Saccharomyces cerevisiae S288C: one gene and its partner. Changing the gene in region 2 together with the main gene of any one other region gives a genetic interaction. Each region holds a gene or a part of one and is shown on either strand. Other genes may lie near its edges.

Region 1 (3,757 bases), on a different chromosome or scaffold from region 2:
ATACTGTCATTGTTATCTTCTTCTGATTCTTCGTCACCACAGGATAAGGCTTTTTCTAATAAATAGTCTGTCTGTGAAGTTGGTGGCAAACCAAGGATACTCGCCCAACAAAGTTCGGCAAAAAATATTCCCAGCCAAGTCCTAGTTCTCCACTTTTCTGCATTTGGCATTGATGTTTGAGTTCTTGTGAATTCAGAAATGAATTCACCTCTGTGCAAACCTAATTGATAAGACAGTGACTTTGCTAATCCTACAAAACGGTAAGAACAATCATCTAGGACTTTTTGGTTAGGCAAAGGCCAAATGCACAATATTAACAAAGCTTGCGAAATATGTGTGGATCTAGGTGTTCTTATCCAGCAGGTCTCTATGGCAAGTTGCTTGATCAAAGAGCTTAGCTTGCAATACATCGTCGGTTCAGGATCAGACAGACATGCCGTCAACATCACGGTCCAGAAAAGCAACTGAGATTGGGAGTATAATTCGGTGGCGTTATTGGAATACATAATAGGAAAATACGGCAGATACCTAGTCACGAAAATATGGTGTAATCTATTCGCTTTTTCAATGGAAATACTAATATCGCCCAGTACAAACTCATCTACATTTGCATGCGGCGAAGGCAATAATGGCATAGTCGTGGTGGTGGCTACTACCGGCGTCTTCGTCCTATCTGCATTGTTATTTGTTGCTACGTGGCTTGTTGCTGCAAATGGTGGTTGATTTGTTGTCGTTGTAACGGTGGTCGACGTAGTATGAGGGGAATATGTTTTTTGAATTGGAGAGAAGGGGCCGTTCGGAGTGTTACCTGCAGAGTTGTTCTTATAAAAAGCCATTTGCAAAGCAGGAGGTAAAGATTCTTTTGAATTATTAGGCAATGCTGAGTCATTTAGCAGCGGGGGCAGCTTATTTGGCTCTGTTGCAACCAAGCCTTTCGAATCTTGCGCTAAAGAAGATGCGCGCAACGTCATGTGAGAAGATGCTTCATTATTTGCTTTAAATTTATTCGTATTGCTGCCCTGATTTGCTTGTAAGAGTTGGGGTTCCCTGGACAAATAAGTTTGAACTGAAACCTTAGAATCTCGTTGAGCCGCGGAAGAAGTTGGAGAACCTGAGGAAGGAGAAGAATCTGGGTTAGGGATAATAGTACCCGGAGTTGGAGTTGGATGCAGATTGAGCTTATTCAAAAGGCTATTGCCCATGGGAATCTGTTGTAAAAGATGAACGAAAACGCTGTCATTGGCCAGAAGAGTATCGAGTTTAGATTTGATTTCATCCACATCTTGTCTCAGTAGTTGCAACTGTGAGCCCTTCTTAGGCCTGAATTGAGGATTGATTTCACAGTGGAGACCAATTTTTTCGCATCTGGAGCAAGGATGAGGGAAATTTTGACTAGCATCGCATTTGATTTTGTGCTGTCTACAATGTGTACATGAGGTAACTGGTCTATGGTTGATTTGATGACTGTCATCATGGTGAGATATTCGTTGTTTCTTACTTGGGAACTGGTGCTGTTGCAACTGTTGCTGCTCCGGTTGTCTTTTCATGTGAGCAGAACTAAAATCTTGGTCTTGGTCAGAATCTCGATTATCCTTCACCATGACGAGAATGCGTATACGCAGAGCCAATATAATCTGTATACGGGACCTTTGACATTAAGGTTTCTGCAGAGAGTTTATTACATGCATTTTCATATATATATTTTTAACGCCATTCCTTTACGGTATGTAAAGAAAAATGATCCAATGAGCGGCCCTTCGTACGAGATGAGATATAATAAGAATGAAAGATAGATAAAAGTTTTAGTTAGAGATACTTCATATACCTGTATATAGTAAAGTCGTTTATTTCAAAGCTTATTTCGACTTGGTGAATCTTAAATAGGGTTTAATTTCATTAAATTGACCAAATTTAGCCTTCGCCTCATCATTGGAGACAGAGGGAGGAATAATGACATCGTCAGCTGGCTGCCAATTAATTGGAGTTACTACGCCCTCCTTGTCAGTCAATTGCAAGGCGTCGATTACCCTTAACACTTCAGAAGTGTTTCTTCCGACGGTGGAAGGGTAGGTAAAAATCAGTCTAATCTTCTTCTTGGGATCGATGACGAAAACAGACCTCACGGTCTTCAGTGACCCATCATTGATATTTTTGAATCCTTCGGCATCTACCATATCATATAGGAATGCCACGTTTCTAAAAGTGTCACCAATTATTGGGAAACCAACATTTTTAACCTTTGCTATTTCCTTGATGTCTTGAATCCATTTTTCGTGGGACTCAACATCTTCCACTGAAAGCCCGATCAATTTAACATTTCTCTTGTCGAATTCCGGCTTCAATTTGGCGAATGCGCTGACTTCGGTGGTGCAGACAGGGGTGAAATCTGCTGGGTGAGAAAACAAGACCCCCCAAGAGTCGCCCAAGTAGTCGTAAAAATTGATTTTACCAACCGTTGTGTCAGCATCAAAGTTAGGAGCATCAGAGTTTATTCTTAGTCTTGGTTGATCACTTTGTTTGAATTGTTTGCACAGAATAGGTGCTGTGGCAAATGTTTTAATCGTCTGTGATTGCAAGTGAGCCTGCTTAGGAAGGGTCCATGCCGTCCTCTTTAATTGAGCGCTACAAATTCTACTAAACATCCTTTGCTTCCTGCTTCTTTGAAATTTATCTCATCCTACTGCGAGAATCTAGAAGCACAATTTTCTATATCTCTCCTTCTCTCTTTATATACCAATAGCAGCAACATCCGGCCCCTTGTTTCTTTACGTAATTAAAAATCTCCGGGGCTAGCTTTTGCCGGGGAACCCATCCCGAAAAAATTGCAAAAAAAAAAATAGCCGCCGACCGTTGGTCGCTATTCACGGAATGATAGAAAAATAGCCGCGCTGCTCGTCCTGGGTGACCTTTTGTATATTGTATAAAGATAAACATAGTGCTATCAGGAATATCTTTATATACACACGCATACTGAATGTGGTTGAAGTTCAAAAAATATCACAAACGTTAAGAAGTTTTACTGGTAAACATATAGACATAGTGGAGCGCTTGCTCGAGGTCAAATGCAGACGGATACGAGAGCGCGGGAGGGAAACCGGAGAAGGTCAATATGCCCATAATTCTTCTTCTTTGAGGTTGGCAATTATATATTGTATCTGAATTAGGCAAATAGAAAAGAGACCTTACCATTAGCGCCATCGTAGAGTCCCATTTCACCTTTTCTTAGTTCTTTATATATGTCTGCGTATGGCCCACATATGCGCGCACAGTGCGCGCCACCCTCTAAGAACGATAAACATAAAATAAACACATAAACAATCAACGACAGTTCGCGCTTCCCTCACTAAATATGGCGAGATAGTTAAACAATCATGGCTCGTTCTTCCTTGCCCAACCGCCGCACCGCCCAGTTCGAAGCGAACAAGAGGAGGACCATTGCACATGCTCCATCTCCAAGTCTTTCAAATGGGATGCACACTCTAACGCCGCCCACCTGTAACAATGGTGCTGCCACTTCAGACTCCAATATACATGTATATGTAAGGTGCAGATCGCGTAATAAGCGAGAAATAGAGGAAAAAAGTAGTGTAGTTATATCTACACTAGGCCCACAAGGGAAAGAAATCATTCTGTCCAACGGTTCTCACCAATCGTATTCGTCCTCGAAGAAAACTTACCAATTTGATCAGGTGTTCGGCGCAGAATCTGACCAGGAAACAGTGTTTAATGCCACTGCAAAAAACTACATTAAGGAAAT
Region 2 (3,757 bases):
CATAGCGACAAGAACTCTGTTTCTAAAGGATAGACACATTGCCAAATAAGCAGATTTCCAGAATAGGAAGGTGAATGAGCCGGCTAACCTATATTTGGCTTCACCAACGGCAAGATCAGCAATGGCTTTATCTGAACCAATATAAGCCAGAGCACCCTTATGGTTGTACTTGAAGTCTTCAATTTGCGATTGCGTTTTGACTATTTGGTTCTTTAATCTAGCGACTTCTGAATCGTCTTTAGCATGGGTCATTTTCCAGTTCAATTGATCGATTTTATAAGCTTTCTTGAAATACTGAGCCAAGTATTCACCTTCTTGGTGGGCAACTTGAGCGGTAGGGAACAAGCCAGGGTGGAAGGTACAATCGCCGATAGCAAAAATAGATCCCTTAGCACCCAAAAGTTGAAGTTTGTTATCTATCAACAAACCACGTCTTGAGTCCTGTTCCTCTAATTTAGTCATTAGGTTCTTAGACACTTCTCTTGGCGCATTACCTGTAGCCCAAACTAATACACCATACGGTATATTTTCAATGTCACCATCGCCAGTTTTGGCAGTTATAGTGGTAGCGTCAACTTTCTTAACCATTGTTTTCAATCTTAAATCGATTTTTTCCTCTTTGAATAAATCTTGAGCATAGTCAACGAGATACTTGTCAAACATGTTCAAAATGTTTGGCAAAGCCTCCACCAAAGTGACTTTAATTTCTTTACTCAATTCGGGCATCCATTTTCTCAAGTCCTGGTCAACATAATCTCTCAATTCAGCGGCAAATTCGACACCGGTGGGACCACCACCAACGACAACAAAGCTCAACAATCTTGCTCTCTCAGGATCTTTTGGAGATAGGGAGGCAGCTTTCTCAATACTGGACATAATTTTTAATCTGATCTCTTGAGCGTCGGATATTTCCTTCAAGAAAGAAGAATATTCATAAACTCCCGGAGTACCAAAAGTGTTTGGTTGAGCACCCACACCGACAACCAGATAGTCGTATTTCAAGTCCAAGTCGTAGTCGTTATTCTTAGCGGAAGATTTGACCTTAATTGTTTTGTTTTCAGGATCAACGTCGTACGCTTCAGCTTCATAGTAATGGACTTCACCGTGCGATCTTCTAGCAATAGTCCTGACAGGTTCAACAATAGATTTCAATTCGATGGTACCAACTGGGGTAGATGGCAATAGCGGAGTAAAAAGAAAATAATTTCTTGGAGAAACAACAACAACATTATACAACGTGGTGTCCAAATTTTTCAAAAGCGACACAGAACCCCAACCGGAGCCCAGAATTACCAAAGTCTTCCTCTTTGAACCGTTTGGAAAAGTGTCCGATTGAGGAACTTGGGTAGAAGGGTTAGCTTCTCGGTAAAGTGAGTATGAAACGTAAGCCGTACCCGCGAGGGCAGAATACAATAAAGCCTTCAAAGTAAATTTCCCAGTTCTCTTGAAAAAGGACTGCTTCGCAACAACGCCAGTAGTGGGCGCCACTTTTTGCAAAATGACTTTCTTGTCCTCTAGCAAATTTCTTGCTGCATGGAACGATCTATTTTTGGCATATTTCACAAGCCCCGACTTGCTCTGTAGGCTAAACCTGGAGGAGTTAGCCCACACTGTTTTCATTAATGATTGTCTAATCATTATTATTGGTTAATTTTTTATTTGCTCTAATAAGTCAATATTATGATGCTATATGAAGAATATTAGTGTGAAAATTTTTTTCCTTTTTCTCTCTTTAATTGGTTTACCAGAATATATAATAAAAGATAGTAGCTGCGTATAAATTTAGTCTAAATACTAAACATGCAAAAGAAATAATGAAGATAAAAACAATCGACACACTTATAGTTCTAGCCCCAACAGCACAAAAGCGGAAAAAATCAAAATCAAGAACAGGCCAATGAGCGTTGTCTTATATAACACAACCTCTTTTATATATACACCCAAGAAGGAGAATGAAAATAGAAACACCACACGCTTCGAGACAACGGAAAGAAAGCATAAGGAGTGGCCCATGTGTGCCAAAACTCTTCTCATTGCCGAGCCATGTATTACCATCCCGATGGTGATGGTTGTGAATGCAAATACCGCTGAGGCCAGAGTAATGCCATAGCGAGGACCAGGGCATCTCGAGCATCGTGGAGAAGATCCCTGTCGCTTTCTTTTTTTACCTCAAAACCAAATGCGATCGACGGGATCGCGGCAACTTTTTATCGGTCGGAATGGTTGAGCTAGGGCGTTTTCGTAAGGGGCGGGGTAGAGTTAGAATTGTAGTTTTTTTTCCGTAGTGCCGTGCCCCCATTACCGAATCTCGGCATTGGGTACCAGAGGGTTAGTGCGATAGTTCTTTAGCAAGATGTTAAACCCGCCTATGCCCGGGAACTGCATACAGGGAAGATCTCACCGGAAGATTACCTCGAAGGGGAGGGGTATGTGTTTTTTCCCCTCGTGGTTAAAGTGACTCTCTATTAACGTAATGAAAAGTCTAAATATTATAATGACTTGCACTTCGTATCAAGATATGCGAGAGATCATAATAAACGAAATAATATCCACAGTTTGGGTTTCATATTCTTATATATATATACGTGCGTATATGCATATATGTATGTTTACTATACATCAACATCAGCATCAAAATTAACATTAATTAGCTTCTTGCATGTGCTCTTTAGCTTCGGCGGCCTTCTCCACGTCGTATTTGAAATCAAAGTAAGATTTTTCGAAATGGTGTAGACGTATGAACCCATCTTCACCACCGGAGGCATAACTTGTGCCCTGTGGGCTAATGGCAACTGTGTTCAAGGGACCAAAATGGCCTTGTACTCTGCCGATTTCTTCTTCGAAGATCTTGTGGTAGAACCTAGCTTCAAACTTACCTTCGTTGGCACTGGTGGTGGTGACATCCTTGGCCTCTTGACCACCACCAAGAATAATGAATTCCTTCAATGGGGTGATTACGGCGGTGTTTAGAGGACAGTCTGTTTCGTATTTCTTAAGAACTTGTAGAGTCGATACATCGACCAAGAACGAGTTAGTATCTCTGGATGATGTAATAAAGTATGTTAAATCAGGAGAAAATTGCATGTCACTGATGGACTTTTCGTGCAAATCGATGGAATCCACGTATTCGTAGTTGTTGGACACATCGTATTTGCTGATCTTACCGTCTTTATGGCCTGCAATGATGTATTTGCCCTTAGTCGACCATCCAGCCACGGTGGCAGCGTCTAAACCTTCATGAGTGATAATTTTATGGATTGGCTCTTCGGAGACCTTTGTTAATTCGTGAGTGGCGGAATCTCTTTCAATTTCGTATATGTTAATGGAACCTGGATTTTTCATGACGTTGTCCAAGATAGCTAGAAAGTAGTTACCGCATGGGGAAAATTCAACTCTTTTAACGGGGACAGGCGATTTCCATGTAGCAACACATTGCCCGTTTGACACATCCCATAATTTGATACTGTAATCAGCACTTCCTGTAACACAGTACTTGGTGAAACAGTCGACGTCGATAGACCAAATGGTACCGGTGTGACCATCCAAAGTACCTAATCTTTCACCGTTCAACGAATACCAAACACTGGCCGAGCTATCTTTCGAACATGAAAATAGTAAATCACCTTCTTTGTTGTACTTCACTTGAGTTAATGGACGTTCATGACCTGTTAATTTGATAGCCTTCATATTCCTTGTCTGTGCTATTTCTTTTTGTCTTCTCTCCTGGCCAGTTATCTAACGACCTTAAGATATACCT

What was found. A genetic interaction does not mean that the proteins touch.
Region 1: of NDE1 (region 2) and SEF1, changing one suppresses a phenotype caused by changing the other (phenotypic suppression), as found in Saccharomyces cerevisiae (one study listed by BioGRID).

What each region holds. Positions count from the first base shown.
Region 1 is NC_001134.8:98,515-102,271, forward strand, and holds the start of SEF1 (Sef1p), read right to left. Parts: upstream 1,602-3,757; coding exon 1-1,601. Other genes in the region: thioredoxin peroxidase PRX1, read right to left, coding at 1,857-2,642; KIP1 (Kip1p), read left to right, coding at 3,372-3,757. UniProt on the Saccharomyces cerevisiae protein: Putative transcription factor that seems to be involved in the sporulation process. Suppresses the lethal phenotype of RPM2 deletion.
Region 2 is NC_001145.3:554,838-558,594, forward strand, and holds the start of NDE1 (NADH-ubiquinone reductase (H(+)-translocating) NDE1), read right to left. Parts: upstream 1,639-3,757; coding exon 1-1,638. Other genes in the region: TIF34 (translation initiation factor eIF3 subunit i), read right to left, coding at 2,644-3,687.